Linked DNA regions of Astyanax mexicanus. The protein of the gene in region 1 interacts with the protein of each later gene in a pairwise test. Links are inferred from orthologs where the notes say so. Each region holds a gene or a part of one and is shown in the gene's direction. Other genes may lie near its edges.

Region 1 (15,844 bases):
CATCATCATGCTCTAGTAAACTGCACCATTCTACATCAAACACCATTATTTTTCAGTGGACTGCAGTGGCCTACTGTTATTCCCTCACTGACATCACTGTTCTCCACCTAATACCGTCATTCTCTAACATCTTTAACCAATCAAACCACACTATTCTCTATCAGTCACTATCATTCACCAACAAATTACGTATTTTCCCAACAAAGATGTTTGATCTTTACAAATCTAGTCAGTTCTGCTCTCTAATTACACTGTAAACATCTAACTACTGCTCTGAGCTTGAGTCCTTCAGTTTCCTCCTCACTGTGAAATCTGTCTGTGAGTGAAGAAGGTCATCATCACTTTCTTCAGATCTTCTCTGTGACTTTCGAGGAAGGAGGGAAAGCCCTCCGGAGCTTTTTTTTTTTTTTTTTTCCTCCACTTGACTGGTGGAAGCGTCTCCCCGACATAATCTTCCAGGCTGCCGTGCATGTCATTACTCTCCTAAATTACAAACATCATTAGCGGAATTGATTCCAGTCGGCCTCCTGGGGAACCAGCGCCGCAGCCGAGACTCCGGGGAGTTGGGCTCCGAGTACGTCCGTCCCCTTTCACAAGTTCAAGAACACTCTGCGGGGAACTCTGTTAAACACCCCCCCACCCTCGCACACACCACCACCACTATTACCACTATCATCACCACCCCCCTGAAACACCAGCGCCACCTCCAAACTCTGTTCTTCATCACAGATGAAAAAAGGAGACATACAGTTCCCAGTATTCCCAGTACCAGTGTATTATTGTATCAGTACTACTTTATGAGGTCACTGGGGCTTGATGCCACCTGTAGCTTATAACTACTCAGGAATATTAAAGCATTAAAATTAAAAAAACAATATACAACTATGGAAAAAATTCGGAGAGCACTTCAGTTTCTGAATGAGTTTCTCTAATTTTAATTTATTTATAGGTATGTGTTTGAGTAAAATTCCCTAATTCCAAATTTAGAGTCATTTCGAACATTTATTTGCATAAAATGAGAAATGGCTGAAATAACTAAAAAAGATGCAGAGCTTTCAGACCTCAAATAATGAAATAATGAAAATAAATAAATAAATAAATCATATTCATAAAGTTTTAAGAGTTCAGAAATCAATCAATATTTGGTGGAATAACCCTGGTTTTGCTAGTATTTCCCCACGCCCTTGACTGAAAGAGAAGATAAAGAAAAGATGAGTGAACTCAGATGATTGGGCAGGAGTTCGGGGCAGCTTCGCTGGAAAAGCATGAAGCTGAACCCCCCCCCCCCCCACACACACACACACACACACAAAGAGAAACAGGAGGAGAAAAGAAAAAAATTGAATGAGGAAGATGGGGAGGAGGTGGGTGCGAGGTTGTTCGACATGCAGGTAGAGAGGAAGTGGCGATTTATACAGGTCAGACAGTGGGAGGAGTAAGGGCGTGCATCAAACTCCCAAAATTAAGTTATATAACACAGATTTTAACTTTTAAACACAGATTTATGCATCGTGGCATGTTCTCCTCCACCAGTCTTACACACTGCTTTTTCAAATGCCACTTCCACTAAACTGCAATGTGAAACCAAAACTAACTGGACTAAATATACAGCATACAATGTAACAAACACATCAGCCCTGGTTTGTTCTTTCATCCGGCCTGAAACATGATCAAAGATGACGGAGAGACAACCTGAGAAAATGGGAGAAATAGAAGATTCGGATTCATGCATCGTGGCATGTTCTCCTCCACCAGTCTTACACACTGCTTTTGGATAACTTTATGCCACTTTTAGGAGACAGAATTAAGAGACCACTTCAGTTTCTGAATCTGTTTCTCTGATTTTGCTATTTATAGGTATATCTTTGAGTAAAATGAACATTGTTGTTTTATTCTATAAACTACAGACAACATTTCTCCCAAATTCCAAATAAAAATATTGTCATTTAGAGCATTTATTTGCAGAAATGAATAATGGCTGAAAGAACAAAAAAAGACACAAGTTCATATTCATAAAGTTTAGTTTAGTGTACAGAAATCAATATTTGGTGGAATAACCCTGTTTTTTAATCACTTTTTTCATGCATCTTGGCATGTTTTCCTCCACCAGTCTTACACACTGCTTTTGGATAACATTATGCCACTCCTGGTGCAGGACAATAACAATAACAATAACAATAACAGGACATACTGCACTCAAATGCCACTTCCACTAAACTGCAGTGTGAAACTGAGAAAATGGGAGAAATAGAAGAATGGAGAGAAGGGAAACAGTTATGTTTAATACAGCTCTGGAAAAAATTAAAAGACCACTTCGAAATAACAAAAAAGATGCAGAACTTTCAGACCTCAAATGATGCAAAGAAAAAAAAGTGTTCAGAAATCAATCAATATTTGGTAGAATAACCCTGGATTTTAATCACAGTTTTCATGCATCTTGGCATGTTCTCCTCCACCAGTCTTACACACTGCTTTTGGATAACTTTATGCCTTTACTCCTGGTGATTCAAGGAGTTCAGCTTGGTTTGATGGCTTTTGATCACCCATCTTCCTCTTGATTATATTCTAGAAGTTTTCAATTTGGTAAAATCTATGAAACTCGTCATTTTTAAGTGGTCTCTTTTTTGTTTTCAGAGCTGTATAAGAAATGTGAGTATTTGAGTATTGCATTCTGCATTTTTGTATATAACAAATGATACACTGTGCCTGTAACATGTTTATTTTCATTCCAGTACAGGCATTCCCATTTCTATAGCTGTCAATCAACTGCATTAGAGTGGTGGTGAATGCGGTTGGAGCCTATAGAACCTTGTTTTTATCATGCGACCGCGTTCTGAAAGGCTTTAGATTGCAGGTTTTTGTTGAGTGTCAGAACATCTTCTTCTATACATTCCCCCCCAGATCTATACCTGAACCTCGCCTCTATTCTCAGAGAACAAGAAGATCCTCCAGCGCACAGCCTCGGGGGGGGGGAGGAGTGCTCCATCCAGCCTTTCACTCTTAGATTGAAAGAGGTGGCTCTCAAGGGATCCGTCCGTGGTCTATATACGCTCGGCCTATATGCTCAATGTATGTGTGCACATTGTGAGCAGGGGTCCTTGGAGATGCTCTGTGAAGTCGGCTTGTGAATCTGAGACTATGGAGATGGAGGTCGGAGGTCACGCCGAGAGGGGCGCTCTGAGGCGGTCCGAGCCGAGGCCGGCCCTGACCTTATTTGCAGTAATATAATGAATTCCACCTACTAGATCTCAGCGGAACATTAGAAGCCCCCCACAGGGTCAGCCGGTTAGCATGTGTACAGGATGTAGTGTGGACCAGGAGAAAGGAGGCATCAGCTTCAACTTCAGCATCAACATCAGCACACTCCTTTTAGGCGTTTAGGCGTCCTGAGATCACAGCTGTGACGGGTGAGGAGATGGAGAGGATTATCACTGTTCCCTTCACAGTAGCACTATATAGAACACACCCTTTCATAGGTTAAACACACAGAAATAGTCCCCATATGACTGTTCTCGGCCTGGGGTGATTCTAGAATCAGTGGTTTAGGGGTCCAGTCCATCAAACCCTCAACTTAAAAAGCTCCACCTCTCCCCTTAAAAAAATTTGTGGCCTGTAAATGAAGTTCAGTTCACAGGAGAGTTCAGAGGAGGGGTGAGTGTGTCTTATTAAAAGAAATAAGATCATTTTTACCTTAAATATCATTTTAAAATATTTTTATCAAACAATCCTGGCACAATTGCATTCTCCATTATCTCGTCTAATGAAGTTGCATCATTTATTTTCACTTTATTCTCTTAGCTATCTAAAAAAAGGGCATGGACAACTCATCCTGGAGGTACCAAAAGAACCCAGAACAACATTTAAAGAGCTGCAGGTCTCACTTGCCTCAGTTAAGATCAGTATTAATGATGACCAAAAATAACACAATGGCCCATCTCACATTTACCAAAAAACATCTTGATGATCTCCAGGACTTTGGGTAAATATTCTTTGGACTGAAGAGACAAAAGTGGAGCTTTTTGAAAGGTGTGTGCCATTACATCTGCTGTAAAACCAGAAAAAGTACTGAAAAATTGTAAGTAAAAGTACCTTTACTTTGCTAAAATTTTACTCAAGTAAAAGTAAAAGTACCCATCTAAAAATCTACTCGAGTAAAAGTAAAAAGTACTTAATTTAAAATGTACTTTGAGTAAAAGTTACATAGTTACTTTTAATTATTTGATGCAAAAAAGTAAAAACAAATCATAAATTAAATTGTTTTTAATGAACTATTATTTCACATAATAATTTGGATCTTTCAGGCAGTATTTGTTTAGACCACCCCATAAAACATTTTCAAGAACAAGTGGCCCAGGTTTCTATGATCCATTTTTTTCTTTACTATTAAAAAGTTATGGTAATATAGGAGACTATAAACTGTTATTTTATAGTTTTACAGTTCATTGTTATTTTTTAACTTGCCATTGATATGCTTTAACTGCTATTTACATTTTTTTTAACATTCAAGCAGATTATTTAATGATAAAAATAATTACCACTACATGCTTTCACAGGTTTGATGTGGAAGTTTTGAAAGCTGAACAGCTCTGTCCGGTGGGGCACATTTTGCATTGCATGAGGACGTTATTGCCTCGTTATTCCACGCGCGAGCATCTGTGTTCTATCTATTTTTTTTTAATTCAGACAATTGTTTTTTTTCCTCAGCATTTTATTTTTTACTCAGTAATTGTGAGTTTTCCAGTGTAGCAAAGTAAATTACTTGTGTCAAAATGTAGTTGAGTAAAAGTAAAATTACCTATTTTAAAAACTACTTTAAAAATTACAAATTACTCATAAAATCTACTCAATTACAGTAACTTGAGTAAATGTAATTCATTACTTTCCACCTCTATGTAAAACCAACACATAATGTCAGAAAATAGAACATCATACTGAATGTAAAACATGGTGGTGGTAGTGTGATGGGCCTGGACAGCTTGCCAAAATAGTTGGAACCAGGAATTCTACTGTTTACCAGAAAATCCTGAAAGAGAAGGTCCGGCCATCTGTTTGTGACCTCAAGCTCAGGTGTACTTGGGTTCTGCAGCAGGACAATGATCCAAAGCACACAAACAAGTCCATCTCTGAATGGCTTTAAAAAACAAAAACTAAATAAAGGTTTTGGAGTGTCCTAGTCAAAGTCATGATCTTAAACAGGTGGTTTATGCTGGAAAATCCTCCAATGTGTCTGAATTAAAACAATTCTGTAAAGAAAAGTGGAGCAAAATTTATCTGTAAAGCTTGATTGCAGTGATTGATGAGTGACACAAACAAGTTATAGGTTTAGGGAGCAAATACTTTTTTATACAGCGCTAGATTGGTTGGGATAGTGTTTCTTTCCTATAATAAGCACCGTATACTATATATATATATATATATATATATACAGTATTGAAGAGTATCATACATAACAGGAATAGTCAATACTCAATCACTGATTCCTACATTGGTGCTATAAATAGAGCACTGTTATAAGGAACACTAACAGTTCCCTAATCACTGATCCTTATTTTGACCCACTATAATGTAGCTGTTCCTGTTCCTTTTATTGGATCAGTTCACTGTTCCCTACTTTTGAACACTATATTGATTAGGATTAGTCCTATAAAGAATTCCTTAATGTTATACATTTCAATCATTTTCTCACATTTGCTACAAACTGACGATCCTCTGACCATCATTGCTCCTCAAAGACTAAATCATGGTTATAATCACCTGTTCACATCACCTGTTTGAAATCGCATCATTATTTAGTTAATTTTTGACCTTATTACTAACCAAAGGCAAATAGCCAAATGTGATTATAGTTTACAAAGTATGCAATGCAATTACCGTCATGTACACTCAACTAATCACTGATTATTTGCATTTATTAATCAAACGTAACTGATGAATCGTGACAGCTGTAGTTTAGTGCTCTGTAGAACACTTGTGAATGATGCTTTACTAATGATTGACAATTATGTCATCGTTTGCATTCCGTTATAATGTAGGATCATTATGGGTATTTTGAGCGCGGCGAAGTCGGAGAATTAGCGGGCGACGCCCGGAGGATTCATCACAACACATTAGACGTTACAACAACATGTAAATCACCAGTTTAGGATGAAAGAGAAGATGGCGCGTGACACCCGGGCGATAAATAACATCATCTGCCGGAGTTTTTAATGAATAATTCACCAGAGTCTTCTGTCACTGTTAAACTTTAATGAAGACAGACATCAGCCTAATCCATATTTACACTCCTCCGGGCCTCGCGATAAACCCTCACTCACTCTCTCTCTCTCTCTCACTCACTTTCTCTCCCACTGTCTCTTTCTCTCTCTTTCTCTCTCTCTCTCTCTCTCGTTCTCATCGAACCGTATCGAACTTATGGAGCAGAACAAAACATAGGCTCGCTGTTTGTCCTATTGTCTGTCCTATTTTTTTTTATTCTTTGTTTACTTTAGAGCACATAAACTATTCAAGCATAAAAAAAAGAAATTGTGGAGGTTGGCTCTCAGAAGCTGAAGGTTGGAATAAGCTGAATACCTGTGCTGTGAGATGTTTGAAGCCCGTGTTTTTATACACTCAGAAATGCCATTATACCATGAGCACACTGAGCTCGTTGTGAATGGCTCGTCATCACTCAGCCTCTTTAGAGCCGTTCTAAAGCCTGCAGCTAAATTATTCACAGTCGGTGGTAAACGCTAATCGTTATGTACGCTAGCTGCTTTCTTAAAGACTACTCTCGCTGATGAACGAGTTACCGTGGGTCGCACGAGTGCGCTACGCTCCAGTGTACGTGACACACCGAGCTAGTGTACAGTAAATGTGTTTGTATTAGTGGTGTCAGTTGGTTAAAAAATTTAATCAGGGGTGCCGAGTGGTCCAGCGGTCTAAAGCACTGCCACTGTGAGCGGGAGGTCGCAGGTTCAAATCCCCGCTCATGCAGCTTTGCCATCAAGCTGCCGGCGCTCAGAGGGAGCAAAATTGGCCCTGCTCCCTCCGGGTGGGTAGATGGCGCTCTCTCCCCACATCTCTCCTAGGGTGATGTCCGCAGCACAGGACGTCTGTGAGCTGATGTATCAGAACCGAGCCGCTGCGCTTTAATCTGAGTGCGCTATGATGCTACTCAGCAATGCTGCAGCAGCTCAAAAAGAAGCGGTTGCAGACTTCACATGTATCGGAGAAAGCATGTGTTAGTCTTCACCCTCCTGGTGTGTTGGGGCATCACTAGTGATAGAGGGAGTCCTAATGAGTGGGTTGGGTAATTGGCCGTGTAAATGGGAAAAATTAGAAACAAAATTATTTTAAAAATGTAATCAGATCAATCATAACAATACTCTGTGATTAGCTGGGTTTGCATACTGTGTCATGGGTCTCCCAACAAGACAATGACCCCAAACATACTTCAAAAAGCACCCAGAGATGTATGAAAACAAAATGCTTCTGAAGTCAGAGTTCTGGAGTGGCCAAGCAATGAGACTGGATCTAAATCTCATTGAACGCATAAAGAGAGATCCTAAACTTGCTGGTGGGAGGAGGCATCCTTGAAATATGAGAGACTTCAAGCAGTTTGCAAAAGAAGAGTGGTCCAAAATTCCTGTTTAGATGGTATAAGAAGCTTGTTGCGATTGAAGCAGTTCATTTCCGTAATTTTTTTTCCAGTGGTTTTTTGTGTGTGTTTTTGTAGTATTGTGTGAAATTGTAAACATTTGTTTTTTTTTTTGTTTTTTTTTTGTTGTTCCAGTACAGTACAGTTTCTTCTTTAACTATGTAAAAACGTGTAAAACATCAAGATTTTCCATAAAAAAAGAGAAAAACATAATTTACGAGAAATAAAAATGAAGAAATAGGCAAGAACTGATCTATTGTTTGGCTTGGGGTCAAAGGTCAGGGTTGAGGGCAGCAGCATTTAGACAGTCATACAGAAACAACTGACAAAGATATGAATACACACCAGTGTGTGTGTGTGTGTGTGTGTGTGTAGTGGATATGGGAGGTGGGAGGTGGAGGGGGGGGGGGGCTGTTTCTTTGGGCTTTGTGTCATTGGTTTAGCAGAGCCAAGACCCCGCCTTGATAAAGAAAGGAAGAAGAGTGGAGAGAGAGAGAGAGAGAGAGAGAGAGAGAGAGAGAGAGAGAGAGAGACCAAAAAAAAAACACCACCCCTCTCCAACACTCTCCAACACTGCTACACTGTTTCCCTTCGGCTCGCGCGGCACGAAAACACGCGCGCATCGCCGTTTTCTCGTGATTTTCTTCGCTACAGATTTTCTTCGCCGCGCGCGCCCGCGGCCTCAGACTGGATACAAAGTATCGCGTTAAAGAAGCGAAAGAGGACAGTATCCCCCTCTCCAAAAAGAAGACTACTGTCCTCCTTCTGCCGAGCTGGGATGCTATCCCTGGACGCCTAAAAACATTAGGAGAAACTCCTTCACCGTAACTCGCGCTGACCGCTCTTCACGTTGAGGTACGCTCGCTGTTTCTGTGTTTTCGGATGCGTTTTTGAGGTCGGATATGTGACTGTTTGTGTTTTATTTAGCGTGTTTGGATTTGACCATGTGTTTACGGAGCTGAAGTTGGCTTCTGATTTTGGAATTCCTCCGTTCCACCTTAAATAGGGCAGCATTTCCATTCTGACTCCTTAAGCGCCAAAATGGAACTGCCGCACTGTTTAAGGTGGAACGGAAGAATTCCAAAATCAATTCCAACTTCATGTTTTCGCCTTTTTTGCCATACGAATCTTAACTTAACGGTAATTAGTAGAGGTGTGGACGCGTTACTGTGTTTATTTCGCTTTGACTATGGTCTTAAACCCCATTTTTATGTTTCATTCATCAAAAAAAGGTGGCGTGTACCATTATTTCTGAGGCAATGTTGATTTTCTCAATGTTGCAGAACCAACATATACCCATATATGGCTAGTAATGAATGATATATATAAAATGCTTGTGTGTATATATTATATTGTATTATTATATTATTATTGTATTATTAATATATATATAATATTATATTATATTGTATTATATTATATTTTGTATATATTTATATAATATAATATAGCTTTGAAAAAATTGATCACAAGCCATCAAACCAAGCTGAACTGCTTGAATTTTTGCAACAGCAGTGGCATAAAGTTATCCAAAAGCAGTGTGTAAGACTGGTGGAGGAGAGCATGCTGCCAAGATGCATGAAAACTGTGATTAAAAACCAGGGTTATTCCACCAAATATTGATTTCTAAATTTCCTAAAACTTTTAATATTAACTTGTTTTCTTTGCATTATTTGAGGACAGAAAGCTCTTCATCTTTTTTTGTTATTCTGAGCATTTCTCATTTTTTTCAATTAAATGCTCAACAATGTTTGTTTTACTCAAACATATACCTATAAATAGCAAAATCAGTAACTGAAGTGGTCCCTTCCAGAGCTGTATGTGGTCCCTTTATTTTTCCAGAGCTGTATATACAGTATGACTTATAAATATAATAATATTTATACAATTCGTCCACCTGCAAACCAAATGGTCCAAATGAATGGAGCCAAACGTGCAAAAATATCCCCCACCCCCTGAAAGTTACTTACTCAGATAAGGGGTTAAAAAAGCTTGTAATATATCTATACTGGTGTTTCGATTTATCTAACTGTAGTTTCTCCCAGATGTTAACCGTACATTTATATTTTATGGTTATATATTTTTTTAATGCTAATCTATGGCTATGACATTTACTTTTTTTTGACTATGATGACATATATACTAGTAGACATATTGCTATTTTTATGACCAATTGGTAATATCACAATTTTCATCATACTTTTTAATGCATACCAGGTTTACCATTCATCCACCTGCAAGTGCTTCAAATACCTCAAATGGGTGCAGTGTGTGCAGTAGTTACTATGTCCCATAAAACCTGTTGGTACATTTATTTTTTTCATATTTTGCTGTTTTATGCCCACCCTGAAACCAAGCAAAGAGACTAAATGGGGATTGATAGTAATAATAATAATAATAATAATAATAATAATAATAATAATAATAATAATAATAAAATAGAATCATAAGTGATCTTTTTTTATCTGGATGATATAGACATTTATTTTTCAATATATTTCTTCATTTCAGTCGATAAGTCGAAAGGCCACAGAAACTAACCAATTCATGTAATTCGCTGTAAATAATGTATATTTAAATATCAGAAATGTGTTGACATTGATTGAATGCCAACCCTAGCTTTTTTTCTTGTTATGTTGTGTTGTGGTGTAAGATACATACAAGATCACATCTCTAACAGGTATTTGTAACCTTATCTGGATCTCATTAGTAATCTATTAATTGGTAATGATGAAGAGGGATGGGTGGTTGAGGGGATGGATAGTGTGCTAATTGTTGTCCCAGTGGACCGCATGTCTAATTCTACACAGATCTTTAATCCTCACCCTGTGGTTGAGGGTCTTGTAGAGTGCCAGATCCTCTTACAGAGGGCAGGAATGTGGTTAATGTTGTTTTATCAGCTGGGTTTAATCAGTGTATATAGAGGAGTGCTAATAGAAGTGTTTTTTATGATTTGGACGTGATGCTCTTGGATATCGTGGTTCATTGTTGTAGGTTTTTTTTTTATTTGCTCTGGTTGTTAGATTTGTCAGAGGAATGGTGAGGGCTGTACATTTCTCAGAATTGCTCAAGTGTGTATACACAGTGTAGTGACATGTATTTGTATTTTGACATGTACACATAATATATACACATACATTTACAATAGATATTTATAATACATACCTAATAGGATACATTTAAGTTAAATGTATTTTTTGCACTATAAGATGCACCAGATTATAAGGCACATTATGCGCCCCTAGTAAGGAACAGGCATACCTGTCAAGTCTCCCGTTTTGGCCGGGAAACTACCGTATTTTACTCCTCTTTCCCGCCGTCCTCCCGTATTAGTATTTTACCGTAAATTTCCCGTATTATATTAAAATTAAAAAATATATATATTATTGAGGAGACAGGGAGCTGACTGCTCTGTGTCTCTTAACCAATCGTGGAACCGGTTCAAGGAGAAAGTCCCGCCTTTCAGGAGAAACAGCCAATCAGATGGCAAAGGAGGGTCAGTGTGGGGAAGCCCCCGTCGCTGTGAGTTCAGGCAGCTAGTCGGAGCTGCTGATGTTAAAACATATCTGGATATTCAGCGATTTTTCTAAAAGAAAGGTAATGGTAGGCGGCTAATCATGAAAACTGTGATAAGATTTTTCTGATAGCTGCTAAAAAACACTCGTCTCCGAAATAAAACACACAGATTAAACCTTTTAAAATAAAAAAATTACACCTTGTGACTCAGCTTAACTAGAAATGTGGAGAGGACCGAAATGAACTGAACTGATCAGGGGTGGAGTGATCAAAAGAAAGAAGTACTAACTAAAAATTATTAATTGTGTAGGCCACTTAGGACTAATTTTTACTGATGGAATATATCTGGTCCATGTCCTTTTAGTAAAAGCTCATGATACTATTTTAAGGTCACCTACAGTCATTTTGCAGAATTTGTGCACCCTTTGTTCAATTTTAAATCTATTAAATAAATAAAAAATATATTATATAAAAGAGTGCATTTATGCCAAAAAAGACATGAAATCTTAACTTTTCTTAAATATCTAGAAAAGGGTTTTTAATTTGGCTGTATTAAAAGAATGACATATGTAGGAATGTCCACAACATTTCAGATTCTGATAATCTAATTGTAGTGTGTAAGTGGTTCACATGTGGTTATTTTAGATTTTTTGTAAACTTGTCCTAAAATGTAAGGGATACTGAACCTTCGTTGGGCTGGTGGGACGACTTTAAGAGGACAGAGGAAAATATCCCTTATTTTTAAATCTAAAACTTGACAGGTATGAGGAACAGGGGTGTCGCTATTTTTTCCTTCTAATTCAGCAGATCTTGCCGCTGGGTGGTGGTGGGCGGTGGAACTAACTAAGTTAAGTAAAGCTAAGCAAACAAAACCGTAACACAGATTTTCCCCCTGAAAACTGTTTATTTGGGTGAGTAAAGTGCTTCTGTTTATTTCATCCTGCATCCCGTCCTATATACAGATATACTTGCCTCTGAACAGTGAAAGAGCTAGTGCTTAGTGCGGTTAGCGGCTAATGCTGCTCCAGCAGTGCTAGCCAGGGGGTAAGCAGTAGGCTAACAGCTGATATTTCTAAAATTCATACGTGAGGCAAACAGACGATTTTTGGCAAAATGAAAGGATTTTAAGTGTGCCTTATAGTGTGTGAAAAACAGCATATATATATGTGTGTGTGTGTGCGTGTGTGTGTGTGTGTTTATATGTATACACTGTATATGTATGTCCAATTAGCCATGGTAGCAGCTGTTTCGTGTAGACCCCATGAAGGCTTGGACCCAACCCAAGTTGTCAACATCCTTCAAGATGTCTTCTGTCCACTTGTTAGAATCACTTTGAGTTCTTGCATTTTGATTGGCTTAAAGTGAGTCCTACATGATACTACTCTCTGTAAATATTGGCATGTCAGTTGTACAACACCATAGAGACTAGATACAGCTCTGCACTGTATGATGGATGGATGGATAGATGGATTTGTAAACATGGTACAAAATAGTATATTTAATATATATATATATATATATTTTTTTTTACATTAAGGTTAATTGACGTTTCATTCAGGCTAACATGAGCTTTACAAAACAGCAAGAAATATGGGTATTCTACTTACCCATTCGTAAGTAGAATATGTTTATCTATAAATCTATCTAATAAACTCTAAAGATAATCAATATGTACCAAACAAACACTTTTTTTGTTTGCATCTTTTTGTATGTTCTGTGTGTTATCTGTAAAATTAACTGTGTGAGGGTAATAAAAACATTTAATTTAATTAGTATTTTTTTTTTCTATGTACTTTATGTTTAGTATATTAATTAAGCACATCAAAAAAGTTTCTGTGCTCCAAAAGTAAATACAAATGTTTTTCCTGTATTTTTACACTTTGAAACTGGGCAATTTTACTCGTAATATGACAACACAATTACGCTAAACAAATTCCCCAATTTTAATATTAAAGTCAAAATAAACCAGACGAACTCCAGACGAGAAAAGAAAAATCAAAAAGGAGATCTACTTAATATCTCTGTAGTTTTTTTTAGATAACAATGAGATCAAATAAAAATACTTTTAAGAGACTTTAGCATAAGTCTCCTGCTGCTCAAATTTGTCTCCTGACATAAAGAGCTCAGTATGGTCTCACGTGTGTCTCCTTTTGAGGTTCTCTATAGCTCTTGATGGCAGTGGTGGATCAGCAGTTGGATCAGTTCTTACAGTTGGGTCAGTAGTTACAGCACTGGGCTATTGATTACAAGGTTATGGGTTTGATACCCAGGTTGATACCCACCAACAAATCTCCCCTGTTCTACACACTAAGAAAAGTAAGTACAGATTTGTACTTAAAAGAGTACAAAGCTTGTCGCTGGGGCTGTACATTATACTGAGGTACAAATAATTACCTTTCATTAAAAGTCCTTTCTTTGTACCCATGTTTTTTATGCCAGTAAAAATGATAAAGATTATAAACATTATCATCATATAAATGACAATAAATAAATGTGTTAAGAACTTGATGATACAAAATTGTCTGGCTTTCAAATGTGAAAAAAATGTGCAATTAAAATTAGTTTATTAGTACAGTGATAAAGAATACTGAATTTACCTTTTGACTGGTTAAGTGGTAAAAATCTGTACTTATTTCTTTAAGGAATGAATTTGTACTTCAGAGAGAACACATCTGACCCTCTAAAAAAAATAGTATTCATTTGAGGGTACAGTTATGAAGAGTATACTTTTGAATACAAAAAAGTACTCATATCGTACTAGAGGTGTGCCATATCATATCGTATGCGATAGTATCGCCAACATTTTTTATATCGTGAACAATATTATACCCTGAAATATCGTGCCATTTCACTCACCCCTAATTATCACATCAGGGTACTACTTTTTTTGGCTGTTTTAAGCAAAACAAAAATTCACACTTACCACACATTTACCATTATACATCTACTATAGACAAATTATATCTGTTTAGTATCACTTATTTTACTTTAATCATGGATATATGGTGAAATATATATTAGGGGTGGGCGATATGGCTCTAAAATAATATCACAATATTTCAGGGCATTTTTGCGATAACGATATATACTTGGCGATATAGGAAAACTAAAATATGAGGAATATATAATGATATATATAATATAATAGGAATATAGTATAATAGTATAACAGAATCATAATGTGGCAAAATAAATAATGTAGCATAAAATAATATAATACAGCAAAGAATATTGCAGAATATTTAGTGCATGCATATAAACTGCAAACTAAAACAATTATACAATAAATACACTTAAAGCCTCACAGTGAATAATACTACTTTTAAGACAGAACAGCCCTATTATCACGATATGGATTTTTAATATCATTATATTTCTGTGTCACGATATATTGTATACGATATAATGTTGCCCGCCCCTAATATATATTTTTTATATTTATATTTTGTCATATCTGTTATCGCGATAATACTGTGATGTTAAAAATATCGTGATATTATTTTAGGGCCATATCACCCACCCCTATATCGTACGTTTTTTGTGTACTAGTGTACTATGTGTCTAAAACCACATTCTCAGTTTTGAACCCTTTAACCCCATAAGAAGTGTCTTATGTCTCATTTTTGTCTAATGCTTTTGTCTATTCCTTCTAAGCAATTTTAAAAGAAACCTATGAAACAATGAAACCTGTGAGAAAGTAAGGAAAACTAAATACATCTCCTGAGACATCAAAGTTCAACATTTGAGCAATACAACTTTCCTATGGGTCTGCACTGTTTAATTGTTTAGTTTTTAGTTTCACTGCAGTGTGTTGAGTGTGAAGCTGAGCTCACTGCTGGTCAGGTGACTCGAGCTGAAATGTTGGGACAGTGTTTGGTACAAGAGACCAGGACAAGGGACATAGGGACTTTATGATGAGCTGAGTGGGATAGAAAGTGTCTCTGAAGGAGATGATTGAAGATTGATTGATTGATTGATTGGAGCGAGCTGATTGGGGCTTGCTAAATGGGACCCAGCTTCACCAGCACACTCCAGCACCCGTCCCCGTACAGCAGCAGCAGGAGTGTGGTGTGTGGTGTGGAGGGGTTTAGTGGCAGGGGGGAGGGGTTAGTGGCCCAGGGCTGGACGGTGCTGAGCTACAGATGTGTGTGTTCTGTATTGTGGAGAACCGTAATATGTTGGACGGCTCACTGCAACAATAGAGGCCTTGTTAGAGCAGCCCATAAACAACCTTCAGCCACCAGCAGCAGAAATCTGCTTCCTCCCTTTTATTCCTTCCTCCCTTTTATTCCTTCCTCCCTATATTCATTCCTTTACTTTTTCCTCCCTGACTGCCTTCTGCACTTTCTTTCTTCCTAATCATTCTGTAATTCCTCTTGTTGTACTTCCTTCTGATTATTATTTTTTCCTTCAGGTCTCTTCCCATCTTTAGTCCTTTTCACTGTACTTCATTCCTTCCTTCCTTCGTATTGAGCATTGCAGTGAGGATTTGATGGCTTTTGGACATATAGTGTCTCAGTAGGGCTGGGTTTGAGGTTAAAATAACCTGTAAGAACTAAAAGAACCCACAGGGAGGTTACTTTTCTAAATCCTGAGAGTGCTTCCTCAGGCCTCGTCACGTTTTGCTTGCTTTGAGGCGTAAAGAAAGGTGGGTGGGGGTGGTATTGGCGGTGGAAGGGGGGGTCAATTTGA
Region 2 (15,228 bases), on another chromosome or scaffold:
CACACACACGGTCACATTCTTCCAGCTGTGGTGTTCACCGTAAAGTGTTACCCTTAATTCATCAGCATGTTTTCAGCGGTTAAAAGCGAATTCCTCCATATGGCTGGGTGCTTAATTAAATGCTAATTGTTATGAGCTATAATAATTGTGGGAATGCGGCGTGCAGCAGGCTCAGAGCTGCTGCTGGGTCCCCAGAGAGGACGAGAGAGACTGGGCTCCAGATAAACAATCCCTCGCTCTCCTCCAGAGAGTGTGTGATCGGCCGGTTGATGAGAGGGGCCTCCCATCCCTCCCTCCCCCCGTCCGCCCCTGGTCCCCTGAGTGTGAGCTCTCTGTGTTGTACCTGACAGTGTTTAGTGTGGAGGTGGGTACGGAGTGAAGGGTGATGCTATTATTCATTGCCGCTGACTGTAGTGTTGCTTTAGGTTTAGTGAGGTTTTTTTTTTCGCCCTAATCACATGCAATTAACAAGCAAATCGCTTTTATGCAAATATGATGTTGCTACAGCCCAGATGATTGTATTGAATTGTATTGTAAGTTGGCTAATATGTAACTATAACTATATAGTTGCAAGAAAAAATATGTGAACCCTTTAGGAATACTTGGATTTCTGCATAAATTGGTTATTAAATGTGTTCATCTGGGTCACAACAAAAGACAAACACAGTCTGCTTAAACTAACACAACACAAAATATTATATGTTTGCATGGTTTTATTGAACACAACATGTTAACATTCACAGTGAGGGGGGGGGAAAGTATGTGAACCCCTAGGCTAATGACTTTTCAAAGAGCTAATTGGAGCCAGGATGTGATGAGGTTGGATGTGTTGCTTAAAGCTGCCCTGCCCTATAAAAACACACACCAGTTTTGAGTTTGCTGTTCTTAAGAAGCATTGCTGGATGTGAATCATGGCTTACACAAAAGAGCTTTTAGAATACATACGTTTAAGAATTGTTGACTTGCATGAAGCTGGAAAGGGTTACAAAAGTATTTCTACAAGACTTGATGTTCATGTGTCCATGGTAAGACAGACAGTATACAAATGGAGAAATTTCAGCACTGTTGCTACTCTCCCGAGGCATGGTTGTCCTGTAAAGATGACTGCAAGAGCACAGCACAGAATAGTCAATGAGGTGAGGAAGAATCCTAAGACTGTCAGCTAAAGACTTACAGAAATCTCTGGCACATGCTAACATTTTGTTGACAAAGCTACAATAAGGAAAACATTAAACAAGAATCAAGTATTCATGGGAGGACACCACGGAGAAGCCACTGCAGTCCAAAAAAAAGCTTTGCTGCACATTTGAAGTTTGCAAAAGAGCACCTGAATGTCTAAAATTCCTCCTGACTGTTGTGCAGGTCTGATCTGCAACTACAGGAAACGTTTGGTTGAGGTTATTGCAGCCAAGGGAGGGTCAACCCTAAACCCCCCCCCCCCACCCCCATATAACATATAATTTTTTGTGTGGTATTAGTTTAAGCAGACTGTGTCTATTGTCTATTGTTGTGACTTAGATGAAGATCAGAACCCCTTTAATGACCAATTTAGGCAGAAATTCAAGTAATCCCAAATGATTAACATACTTTTCTTTTCACTTTTCTTGAATCTGTATACAGTAGAATTAAATGCAGGAGTGAGTGTTATTATAAAGTAAGTGAAGAGGAGAATGTGTATACTCTCTTACTGCTTCCAAGGATGCCGCTCAACACTCGTCAGACCTATTTTCACATGTTTTCACATTAGATGTGTGTTGCTGCGTGTCTATTAACACATCGGTTTATTGTACTGGTAACTCTAACAGCCTCATCTCAACATTGTGCTTAGACTGCTGTTTCACAGTCAAGTCATCAGTGTTAAATTAACACTTTTAAGACACATTGATGTTTGGTGCAACGACACAGTGCGCACTGGGGACCAGTTTAACACAGCTGGTGCTAATTTAACAGCAGAGTTTGGGAGTAGAACAGAGATGTGATGGTTTAACACAAAATATTTAAAATACATTTAGAAAACATGGAGGTAGGCCCGTGACGAGATTTACAGTTTCGACTGTAACCCCAATCATTTTTGCTGACCTCAATACTGCCCATAGTGTTTATTTGGCTAGACAAAAAAAACACAATTTTGTTTGTTTTGTCTATTTAGGAAATCTAAAATTACATTTTCCAAAATTCTGTCATAATAAATTAAATCTTCATTGGTATTTAATAGTATTGGGCAAATACATTGTTGTTTTATTATATAATCATTATATGAGTGTCATAAATAGCCTTAAAATGACAATTATACCATTTCTGGGACAATTTAAAAAAATAGTTATCATTACATGCCTACAACAAGGCCATCATTAAACAAAACTCAACTTTTGGGGCGCCGAGTGGTCCAGCGGTCTAAAGAGCTGCCACTATGAGCAGGAGGTCGCAGGTTCGAACCCCAGCTCATGCAGCTTTGCCATCAGCTCCCGGCGTTCAGAGGGAGCAAAATTGGCCCTGCTCCCTCCGGGTGGGTAGATGGCGCTTCTCTACACATCACTCTATGAGCACAAGGCGTCTGTGAGCTGATGTATCGGAACCGAGTCGCTGCGCTTTCCTCCTGCTCGGCAATGCTGCATCAGAAGCGGTGGCTGACTTCACATGTATCGAAGGAGACATGTGTTAGTCTTTACCCTCCTGTGTGTTGGGGCATCACTAGTGATAGTGGGAGTCTTAATGAGTGGGTTAGGTTATTGGCTATGTGAAAATGGAAAAAAATAGGAATAAAATTATATTAAAAAAGCTCAACCTCTTATGTGAGAATAGTTTAAATCATCCCTCATAAAAGATAAGGCAACAATGAAATAAATCACTAATCAGCACAGTGATTTATCAGCCTACTCATGCTGTAGTAGAGCTCAGTAACACTGAGATAAATGACTGATCACCAGAACAGTGATTTATCAGTCTACTCATGCTTTAGTAGATCTCAGTAATGCTGTTTTTTCCCCAGAAAGCAATTTTGCACAAAAAGAAAAATGGATTCCATAATGGTCAGGGTGTTTCTTTACAAGTAAGGAGGATCCTTCAGATATTTTGGGAATATGATGTGATGATATACCTGTGTGTCATGTAATGTTTAGCATTCTAGGACAGATGTTGACAATGAGAAAACATCTTTATAAATGCAAAGAAATATATTGTTTTTTTTATATCCTTTTTTAAATTGGCATTCTGTATAAAACAGAATATCATACAGAACAAACTTTATATATTGGAAACAGAGTGTGCTTTAGTACATTTAAGTACACTGTTAACTGGATTTAGCTTTGTTTACGGCCTACAAATCAGAGGGCTTTACCCAGATGCTGCCAGAGACGCAATAGACCCAGAGGTGCGAAGCACAACGCTTTCCTTTGTTACTTCCTGGAGTGAAATGTCAGCGACGTCTTCAGGGCAATGCTCTGAGAAGTGGCTGTAGTAACAACATGCGAGTTTAGTCTGCGGATCAGCTGAATCTGGACTGTTTTAATCACTGTTTATGGTGTTACTGATCTTACAGAGCATGGTCTTCGTATCATATCGAGGCTCCTCAGTGTCTGCTGTGCAGTGGGCAGCCGTGCAGCTATGCTACTGGACATTCTCTCTCGCTGTGTGCTCTGGAGCAAGATTAATCCCATCAAAAAGGCCAGTGTATCAACATCTGCCTAATCCTGTCTAATGGCAGACACCGCCGTGAAATTCTTACCTCCAAGCAACATGTATTAGCATAATTAGAAGGAGAATCCCAGCAATTGGGGAGGAATGCTTAAGCATGCTGGGTGAATGACAGATTTCCATGCTTGCTGAGTGTGTACATGTGTGTGTTTTTACACATACTGGGAGGACATGTGCAGTGTGTATTGTTTAATAGGACATGTGAGGCTTAGTGGAGCTGTCTGAGCTGGTGGAAGGCACAGGAACGTTGCCTTCACAAAGACGGGTTCCACAGTGACCTCTAGGGGAAGGAATTCAGGCACATTTAGGAAACTGGTGGGAGCAGCCATTTCTGAAGGATTCCCACTGAAGTTACTTTTAAATTATACAAATCATGCATTTCATAGGTCTTCTGTGATGATTGGTTATATTAACACAGAGATTTAGGAGATTTTTTAGGACATATTTCTTTTATCATAAATAATTAAATAATTTTTAACTCAAACTCAAAAAAAACAAACCTTTACTTTAGCCTTGCTACTTCAAGGCTAATTTTATGTGACAAAAGACATACATCTGAATGTTTGTGCGTTTTTAAATATTATCCAAACATGATACAAGCGTAAAATGACTTCTAATAGTCCTTCATATCTTTCCACAACACTGCTTTTCAAAAGCAGAGCCAACAAATCCTTCACATCTTTCACTGTTCCAGTTTAAACAGATGGAAGGAATCGCAGGAAACATCATTTCAAACATCAGGCAGCCTGAGCTGATAGTACAGCCATATTCAATGAATGGCAATCTCAAGAATTTGGAATCAAAAAATGCCACTTGGTGCTTGTGGTACTGAGGTATGGAACAAAAACAGTTATGCTAATCACTGGAAGTCTCTCTCTTTCTCTCCTGTATCTCTCTGTCACACAAGACAGGACTTTTGAAGTGAAGCTTGGCATGGCCTTTAAAAAAGGACCCCCTGTTGTGGTTGGTGTGCACCGTTTTAAATATGAGGATTCGTTTCTTCCTGAATGGTTCCTGACCAAGCAGAACCATCTTGCTAAAAAAGCCACAGTAACAATGTAGGTACTGCAGTTGGTGTAGGCTGAAATAATAATTTGCTACAAGTTCAAAGGTTCACAAATCTTCATGTCACTCCAAATACTCACTTTTCCACTTTGCTGTGCTGTGTATTCTGAATATGGCACGTCTCCAAGCTGTGATAAAGTGGCAACAGAGAACTTCCAACACTGGGTTTGGATGTACGATGCTAAATAGAACTCTTGTTTTATGTTTAATCTGTGAACAAAATAGATGTCTCGCACTGTCATAGTCAGTGTGCAAAGTCAAAGAATAGGAAGTGATGCATCTGCACAAGTTTAGCCTTTTTCCCACAAGTCACAGACTATTAGCTTGAGCCTAGACCATTCTCACCCATGCAGTTCTATTGAGCAATAATGTGAATGATGCTGAATGACGATAATTCGCAACACTCCTTGACAGAACAAGGAGCAGATTGTTGGGCGGCACGACACCGACAATAGAAAGAATGCGGTGTGCTTTAGACTGTCACCCACATGTAATGGCTCACGCACCGACACATTCACCACATCAGCTTAATGAGGAGGCCATTCTTTGCATTAAATAATAATGGTATTAGGTCAAGATTCCAGACTAGGGAGGACAGTGGTTTGTTTTGAAATGTATTAGTAACGCCAATTAATTTACTGGGGCGAAAGAGGCACACTGAGTGTGGGACCATGGCAGCCAAATACGAGGAACAAGTGACTGCATTCATCAGGTCCTGACTGAACTTTGAGTTACGCATCTGTGGGGCCTCAGCACTCACCTGATTACACGTTCTCCACAGTTAGTCACACTGCACTGAGTCGAATTCTGTGCAATCAGTGAGTTCTGCAGGAAGAACGCTTGAACTGTGGCGAAGTCAGTGGTCACAATGTGACTCTCACTGGTATATATTATTGTAACTTTCCATTTTTTTTCTAAACTGAAAATGAAAATGTTTTAATATAATAATAATTATAATTACACGTAATCACTATGAATTATTTGTTTATTTTATTGTATTACATGATTTACACCACACGTACACTTTATGTAGTGATTTTTAATAACACAAAAATAGAACATTTCATACTGACCCCCAACAATGATATTAGAACAATAACATTTAAGAACAAAAATATAATTCTGATTAATTGGCTAATCAAGCATCTGAAATATTTAAAGCTTTCCACACCAGCACTGAACACTTTCTTCTGGGAAAAAAAATCAATTGTCTTAAAATACATATATATTTTTTTATTACATATGTCTTTAAAGTAATCTATATTTTACAGTATTTTATAATTAAAAGAAATAGCCACAACCAAGAACATTACCAAAACAAAAACATACGTTTCAAATCTTATGTTCATTTTATTTTTAGATTTTTTTAGTTTACATCCACTCTCCACTCTGCAAAAACAGTAGTTACTATTTAGCTATAATGATTAGTATTATAAGTATATAATAATAATTAATATTAATCATTATTATCAGTAATTACATTTTGATTTGTTCTTAATTAATTAGCTCAATTTATTGAACGAATATCCTTACATAAATATCATGGTAATAATTCTAATTCGGTATAATATAGTTTTCCCACCTCCAGTCAGTCAGTCAGTCTGTGAGTCAGTGAGTGAGCCTGTGATCCAGTGTATGATCCAGTGTAAAGTTGGGCTCTGCTGCTGCTGCTGCTGCACCTGCTCCTGCTCTCCGCCCCGCTCTGACTACAGTACCCAGGTATCAGTGCGCGGCCGGTCCCCCTCTCCGTGCTCTGCGCCAGTCTGTTGTAGGAACCAGTCCGCTCGGCCCTTTCTGTTTTTTTTTCTGCTTTCTCACTGTTGCCTGGTGTCAACCTACGCCGAGCCGCCTCATCCCTCCCTCTCTCCCCCTCAGCGGCTGCTTCCAATTTGCCTCCGCCGCCCTCCGCGCCTCTTCCATTGGCTTTCGCGCTGCCACTCAAGCGCTTCCTCTTCGCTGGAGAGTTGAGTAGCAACAGCTCGGAAACATCTGGCTGCTGCCGCCGCCGCAGCTCTGCTCTCTCTCTCTCTCCGCCGCTGCGTCTCTATGCCACGGCGGGCTGGTATGGAAAGCCGTTGAAAGTCGATCCAGTTGGTTTGTTTTTTTTTTCTTCTCTCTCCCGGAGAAGATTGGAGCGGAGGAAGCGGGAGAGGAGGAACTGGAGCTCTGTTGTCTGTAAGTGGGCTTTATAAAACGCGAGGTGCTCTTTAAGGAGATGTTTAGCTGTAGTTAACTAGGGGGGGCTGAGCCGGGGCTCGATCGGTGTGGAAAAAGTGGCGAGCTGGTTTGTTTGTTTTTTCCTCTTTTTTAACGGTTCTTGGCTTCACACTGTAGTTAAAACACTCGTTGGAGAGCGACCGTTGCGTCGCGCTGCTGACCGTTGAAACGGGGCCTGCTCCAGAACTGAAACCCTGCAGGTAGATCGGTGACTTTTTTTGTTAAGCTAGCCACTAGCTAGCTCCCCCCTCAGTGTGCGGCTGGGGGTCAGCAGCGGTGGAAACAGCCAGCCAGCCGACAAACCGACCGACCCACCGTGTGTGTTGTGCTGTGTGTGTTGCTCCTCCACAATGCTGAACGCTGTGTGTGTATAAATGTGTGAGTGGGAGTGAGTGAAGAACCCTGGAGCCACCGTGTATTTTCGCCTATAAGTAACTTAACTTCGGTTAGCTACTTAGCTAACTGTTAACTAGCTCGTAAGTGGGATAAACTAGCGTTAGCTTACTAACTAGCCAGCTAGCTAGCGTTACCTAGGTTACGCAGTTAGTTAAGCTAGTTAGCTAACTAGCTAAGCGACACTCGGACTGCTCGAGTCAGTCAGATAGTTCCCGAGAGCTAGTGGAAATCTGCCACTGTGTTGTCCCGTGGTTTATTTATTGTTGTTGTGTTTTTTTTTTTAGTTTGAGTTTAGAGAACTAAAAGTCGCTAAGTTAGCACAGCAGCCTGGTCGCTTGTCTGTTTTGCGGGGTGTAAGCACAAGTTTGAGTCTGGCAGGCTGGTGAAGTGTGAATGAGGCGGTGTGCAGCTGTGCTGTGTGAGTTTTACTGACACATTTGTCAGCCAGCTGCACTCGCACAAAAAATGCTGTTCATATTTTATTTGGCGAAATAATTATAATAAAGTCACTAATAATGATGAGAAAAATTGGTTTGTAATTAAGGAGGCGTTTGTGGTTAATTAGATAAAATTGTGGAAATAGTTAGCGTTAAAACTCAAACCCAGTGCTTTGGTTAGAAAGTTAAAATTTAGGTAGCTGTTTGTGCTTCATTCATTGTGTTTCCTCAGGATTGTACGTTTGATAAATCTTAAAAAAAACTGTAGTTAGCTGTTAGAAACGTATGGACTGACATTTAAGTGGAAAAGCAGTGGCTGTTGTATAACTTACTTGTATTATTATACATTTCTTCTTCTTCTTCATAGCATTATTATTATTATTATTATTATTATTATTATTACAATTATTATTATTACAATTATTATTGTTGTTGTTTTATTATTATTATTATTATTATTATTGTTATATTATTATTAGTAGTGTTTGTAGTGGTAGTGTTATCTACTTGAGCCTTGTCCTCAGACTTGTGGCTATAAGATTTATGTAGCTAACTAGTAAAAAAAAAAATAGACACATTTTGTGTAACTCTGCTGTTTGAGGAACAAAAGCAAAAAAAACTGTTCATATTAAGTGTCAAGCAGTCCTCTTAAGTAACAGTTTTTGTTGTTGTTGCGATCCTACTTATAAGGTCTATAGGCTTGTTCTCATTGTCCATTATTTTATTTCTCACCCCCCTGCCTGGCCGTCACTGGCCCAAAAGGGTTAGTAAAATGAATGACAGTAATGGTGCGGCCAGTGAACCATAAAGAAGCCGAAAACAATATCAGCTGCGTGGATCTGTCAGTTGCAAATGCGCTGTGCTGGCCTTTGTTTATGGTTACTGGAAGGAGAACACCAAGAGAGAAAGAGAGGAGAAAAAAACTTGAGGGTATTTAAATTCTCTGTGCTGGAAACTAGGTTAGAAAAAAAGTGTCTGCTTTCACACAGACCTATTTTCAAAAGTTCTCCTTTGCTGGGAGATTACAAGTAAAGGGGGGGAGGGTGGAGGGGTGGATTGGCCAGGTTTCCACAGAATCACCTCTCAACAGTTCCTTACTACCACCACCACCACCCCCCTGCTTTTTTTTAAAGGGAGAGAAAGAGAAACAAAGTTGTATAAAGGAGAGGCTGGTGGCAAGAGTGTAGAGGAGTAGCATATGGCACTAAAAGGAGCACAGCTGGAGGTAGCATTTCCATCTGAACATGATGTCAGAGCAGCTGACAGGCTGCCATCCCCCAGTCTTTTCTTCTACCGCACAGACTGGGAGTTAGTGTGTGTGCGGATCTGTGTGCAGGAGGAGGCATCGCATTCCCCTCCAATATCTCCTCCACTTTGCATCTGTCCCTCGCAGTTTGATTTTTTTTTTCTTCCTCCCTCTCTCTGTTTCTCTCTCTCTCTCCCTCTCTCTCTCTGTGTTGCTCTTCCTCCTACTACCACCTTCATTGATTCTGTGAAGGGAACTACAGCAGCAGCAGCAGACACTACAACACCACAACAGTGGACTTAATCAAGTTGATGCGTACTGCAGGTACTGTACCGTACCGGACAGGGGGGGTTCGGGCCAGCAGCCATGTGTTCTGAATAGGGAACTATTTAGGCTTTTGTTAAGTTTTTAAGGTTTTTTTTCTTTTCTTTTGTGTGACTGTTATCAGTGCAGTGAAGAGGAGAAGAAGTAGTAAGATTTGTGTCGGGATAGCGTTACCAGGATAGGGACGAGTGACACTTCTTGTTGTAAGGACGAGGTTACCAGGCGAGCTTTTCATTAAAGCTGTTTGTTTGTAGGTTTTGGTTTCACTTGCTTTGCTGTGAATAGCGAACGGTAGCCAAGATCTAACAGTTGTGCCATTGTTTGTGCGGTGTGTTTGTGTTGCATTTAGCGCGAAGAAAAAGAAAAAAGTTTCTTAATGTGTGTTTTTAAGATAGATTGTTTATTATTTTTTGTTTATATATACTATATTTTTGGTTAACTTTAAGTATTATTTGTGCGGCTAAATAATTAGCTTAAATGCTTTTAAAAATAATTTTGCCAGATTTTAATTTCTAAAAGGATTTCCATGTAAATCTCTGTAAATATATATTTTTTAATCTGTAAAGGCACTGCCAAATATAATAGAAATAGTCTGTTTCAAAATGTATAAAAAAATTCAAATTGTAAAATTACTAAACAACTGTCCAGCAGATTTATCTCTTATGCATGTTTTTTTTTTTTTTACTGTTGGTGACTAATTTAGAACTTGCAGATTTGAGTTGCCTGAATTGGCTAGACAGCTGTAATCGCACTCCTCCTAGTCTTAATCTCTTTATCTGGGCAGCAGCTGCCATATGGCCTCAGTCAGCTGGATCAGATGTTCATAAGCCTCCTTCTCTGTCCCTCTCTGTCCTCCGAGCCTCCTAATTTGATCGCTGCTACCTTGCGAGCTGTCCTGCAATCTTTATTTTTAGCCATCTTAAGGATTAGGATTGATGTGGACTACAGGGCACTTAAAGTGATTGTATTGTAAATCTGCTGTGGGCTGCCTCTTTGGGGAGGATGTTCCATTTCTCGAAAGATTTGGGGAGGGGAGAGAAGAGGAGGAGAAGGAGGAGGAAGAGGAGGAGGAGGAGGGGTTGGCTAGGGGTTGGCTGTCCCACGTCTGCCCCCTCCCCGTAAGCCCCTCATTAACGAAGGTCTGAGCACTGTTTAAGGGGGGGTTTGGCTTGGTATCCCAATCAGATTTAAATGAAGATTCAAATGAGTTCATTTAAGTGCGCTGGTTGAACATGGTGCCCATGCATTTTTTGAGGCGGGAGCTGTCTCCACGAGTAACAGGTGTGATTTTAACATTTCTCTATATGTTCCTCTTTGACTTTATTGATTTTTTTAATTAGATGCAGCCTTAGTGCACAGTTTAATTGTATTTTATTTAGAGCGAATTGTTTGTTTTCAGTTTGGCGGTTGACTGTGTACTATAACAACTACTGTAACATCAGTTGCACTGATGTTCTGCTACCTTACGTGTCGTAACCTTAAAGATCACGGTACTTAGGACTCTCTTAGGAGTGCTGCTGCAGTGTGACTGTGCTGTTGAGCTGTTTGTGTACCTGTAAGCCTGTTACCTAAACGCACCATCCTGGCCAAAGTGGGTTATTAAAAATAACTGCTCCAGGAGCACAAAGAGGAAAAGCAGTGAAGTGACTTGCACGCAGGCATCTGTGGCATCGGGACTTCAGCTTTTAACACTGCGCATTCAAACCTTTCGCACTAGCAAGATCTCTGAAGCAATTTAACAAATTTTGTTTTCATTTTAAGTTCTACTGGTGATTAATCTGTTTTTCTAGTTAAAGTCATAAAAGAAAGTGTAAAATGAAAAGCCTGTAAAAACTACTGAAACTAAATATGAAGCGCACACACAGCTGGATACACTTAGGAGGCAGAGAATTGAAAAGAAAAATGGGGATCGCAGATATTGTGATTTTATTTGTTTGAACTTGAATCTTTATAATCCTTTTATGTCGGCTCTGTGGTGAACATTTTTCTAGTGTTCCCACAGGGATGGAGGGAGGGAGGGGAGAGAGAATTAGTGTGTGAGAGCCAGTGAGTGTGTGTCTGTGTGCATTGGGGAGAGAGAAAGCGAGCGAGTGAGTGAAAGAGAGAGAGCGAGACTGAGCGGGTGGGAAAAGAAAGAAGTTCCATACAGGGCTGCAAACAAAACAATTGTTGTTCTACTGGGCCTCTCTAACATCTGCGGTCTTTTGCAGGTTATGAAGACAGCATGGAGTTTCCAGACCACAGCAGACACTTGCTACAGTGTCTGAGCGAGCAGAGGCATCAGGGATTCCTTTGTGACTCCACTGTTCTGGTTGGCGATGCCCAGTTCCGAGCCCATCGTGCGGTGCTGGCTTCATGCAGCATGTACTTCCATCTCTTTTACAAGGACCAGCTGGACAAAAGGGACATTGTTCATCTGAACAGTGACATTGTCACGGCCCCGGCCTTTGCTCTCCTGCTCGAGTTCATGTACGAGGGGAAGCTCCAGTTCAAATCGCTGCCCGTGGAGGATGTGCTGGCCGCCGCCAGCTACCTCCACATGTATGACATTGTCAAAGTGTGCAAGAAGAAGCTTAAGCAGAAGGCAACAGCTGAGGCTGACAGCACCAAGCGCGAGGAGGATGCATCCAGCTGCTCAGACAAAGTGGAGAGCTTCTCGGAAGGCGGCAGCACAGGTCGGCCAGCCACCGCTGACCTGCTGCACAGCGATGACGAGGAGCTGGAGAACAAGCGGGACTGTCTGCAGGAGCCGGGCAGCATGTGGATGCGGCTGGCCTCAGAACGTACTGCCTCTCCAGCCACCAGCCCCAGAGAGGCAGAGCCCCGCGGGCCTGACACCGGCAAGTCCCCGGCCGGCAGCCCGAGCAGTTCCACTGGCTCACTGTCCCGCCGATCAGTGCCCTCCCGCAGGGTGTCTGCCGATGCTGACTGTGTCCTGGACTTGTCAGTAAAGTCTGGCCTGAGTGGGCCCCCTGGGGAGGTTGTGGCCAGCGGAAACCCTTACTTCTGCGGCCCGGTGACCCCAGATAGCCTGCAAAATGCACTAGTGCAGGTGAAGGTAGAGAAGGATGCGGGCTCTGATGATGACGAACTGGCGAGCGGCGAGTACGAGATGGAGCACAGCGGCCTGAAGGAGCCGCCCAGCACCAATGGCACCCATGCCATCCACTCAGTCCAGCAGAGGCGACTGGGCCTGGAAGCGCACCTCTCGGCTCTGCGTGAGGCGTCGTTGGCCGGTGAGCTGGAGCGGGACAGCAAGACGGTGGAGGACGAGAGCGAGGTGCTGGGCGGTGACGGTGATCGCGGGCAGGATGCGGCCAGCGTGGAAAGCTCCCTGCTACCCTACGTGTCCAGCATGCTGGGCGCACCGCACGCGCAGATCTTCATGTGCCCTTTATGCAACAAGGTCTTCCCCAGCCCGCACATCCTGCAGATCCACCTCAGCACGCACTTCCGTGAGCAGGAGGGCGTCCGCGCCAAGCCGGCGGGCGACGTCAACGTGCCCACCTGTTCCATCTGCGGCAAGACCTTCTCCTGCATGTACACGCTGAAGCGCCACGAGCGGACCCACTCGGGCGAGAAGCCCTACACGTGCACCACGTGCGGCAAGAGCTTCCAGTACTCGCACAACCTGAGCCGGCACGCCGTGGTGCACACACGCGAGAAGCCGCACGCCTGCAAGTGGTGCGAGCGGCGCTTCACGCAGTCAGGGGACCTTTACCGGCACATCCGAAAGTTCCACTGCGAACTGGTCAACTCTCTGTCCGTCAAGAGTGAGACTCTCAACCTGCCCACAGTCAGAGACTGGGCGCTGGAGGATAGTTCTCAAGAACTGTGGAAATGAAAGCTAATGAAAACCCCTTTCAAATTGCTTTTTAAGTTAAGAGAGCAAGAAAGAGAGAGAAAGAGTCAGAAAGAAAGAAAGAGAGCGACAATGTGAGGCAGAGAGGTAAGGGGGTCAAGAGATGGGCAGGGAGGTGGTGGAAAAGGTCTGCATCAGTCATGTTTCTTCTATGTACATTGCTTATCTTGTTAAATTGCACTTTACTAGCACATGAAAAAAATGTTACTACTGATTTTTATTTTCTGGTTTACTTAGTTGTGTTTTTTATTCGTTTATTTTATTTTTAAAGACATGGGTGCTGGCTACAGCTGTCACCTCTTGACACAAAAATTTGTGTGAATCTGGATTTGACAGTGTATACACATAAACTCCTTTACACTCCTGGATTTTATTGAACATGCCATGAACAGAAAAGAAAAATCATGAAGATTTCAGGTAATACACTGAAGAAGTTCAAAACTGATAAGCATACACTAAACGGGTACTACGATCCTATATTTACCTGTACACACGAGGCTCGTCCGCGAGCGTGTGTGTATATATATCGTGCACTACTATACCTTTTTATTTTGCAAATATCATACCTGGTGTGTGAGTGTGGCGGCACGCAGACGCTGCGTGTTAACAAGTTAGTCCTTTAAATCCTGCGAGGATTTTGCTCGAGAAGCTCCAAGCTTGTGTTATTTAGGCTCTTGTACATTTTTTTGTTCCTTTTGGAAATCTTGTGATAGGAAACTTGACTGATAGAAGACAAAAAAGGCACTCATGCAATGTACAGCCTCCTTTTTCATATCAATTGACACGTTTTTATATGGTTTGATTGAACTGATGATTTGTTCATCTTTGATTTAGTTGCAGACTCTCAACACTCGTTTTCTACTGAGATTGGGTTTACGTTCGCTGCATTTCTAGAGAGATTTCTGTAGTGTATTTTTAATTTTTAATTTGTTCTGTTTTTTTTTGTTTGTTTGTTTCTTTTTCTCGTTTTCAAAATGGGATCTGTTGCATGACGTCCAACATGTATATTAAAGAAGATGTGAATTGCTGTATTACTGTACACTGTAATTGACCGATTCATTACAGTCAGGGCACCTGTCTGTTTAAAAAATATATATATACTTTAATATTACAGCTGTAGAAATTGCATGAATTTTATTTAACTTACTCTTATTTTTGTTGTTGTTTTGCATTGGAGAGTGTATTTTTTATTGAACTCATTCGATTCCTAAGTAGGTTTTTTATTATTATTATTAATATTATTATTATTATTATTTTTTTTTTTCTCCTATGGTGACTCCTGTTAAGACATTCTGCTGGGCTGTGAAGATGTAAGGTGTAAATGCACTGATGTTAGGTGGGATGTTGAAGTGTGTCTGTGTGCACGAGGCATCTTGCTCCAGGCTTATAGTAGACGGCAGGAGTTTGATACGGGGCTGGTGTGTCAGCGGAGGCTTAACCCCTGCTGAACATTTGTTCCAAAGCTAGTGTGGTTCCTGCTTAGCACCTCCTCACGCGCTGCTGTTCTCCAACTGCTGGTCTCCAACTGTTGTTTACTCGCGTCTAGCATTTTGAAACGTGTCAAGCTTTTTTGTTAGTTTTTTTTCTTTGTTTGTCAGTAACTTATTTATTTATCCGTTCGATTGGCACTTGCTTCAAATTCCGTGGCCATGAAGATTCAGTTTGCTGTTATAACTCCTGTGTCGGCTCCTGTAAAGATGGGCTCATCAGATCTACTGTGTGTGGCAAAGGCTGAAGTATCGGTAAACAGCATAAAGCTCCAATCTGTGTGATTTGACTGAGTGAATGTCAGTGTGTGTGCGTGTGAGAGTGTGTGGTGTGCTTTGTTTTTTTTTTTTTTTTTTGTTTTTGTTCTTTTGTACTCAAAGCATAATCCTTCCTCTGACAGGAGAAAATGTTTGGCATGCTTGGTTGCACCTTTTTAAAAAAGCTTAACAAAATTAGATTAATGCTGAGAAAAAGATGCCTTTATGATTTTAACTCTTAAT

What was found.
Region 2: the proteins of C-terminal-binding protein 2 (region 1) and zbtb18 interact in binary tests that used the Homo sapiens proteins (3 or more experiments, as listed by UniProt). The two-hybrid records come from large-scale screens. The link is inferred for Astyanax mexicanus from reciprocal best matches to the Homo sapiens genes CTBP2 and ZBTB18.

The regions. Positions count from the first base shown.
Region 1 is NC_064422.1:18,506,263-18,522,106, reverse strand, and holds the start of C-terminal-binding protein 2, read left to right. Parts: upstream 1-8,146; 5' UTR 8,147-8,491; intron 8,492-15,844. UniProt on the Homo sapiens protein: Corepressor targeting diverse transcription regulators. Functions in brown adipose tissue (BAT) differentiation. Isoform 2 probably acts as a scaffold for specialized synapses.
Region 2 is NC_064414.1:22,906,534-22,921,761, forward strand, and holds the start of zbtb18 (zinc finger and BTB domain-containing protein 18), read left to right. Parts: upstream 1-9,416; 5' UTR 9,417-10,610; coding exon 10,611-10,659; intron 10,660-11,588; coding exon 11,589-13,222; 3' UTR 13,223-15,228.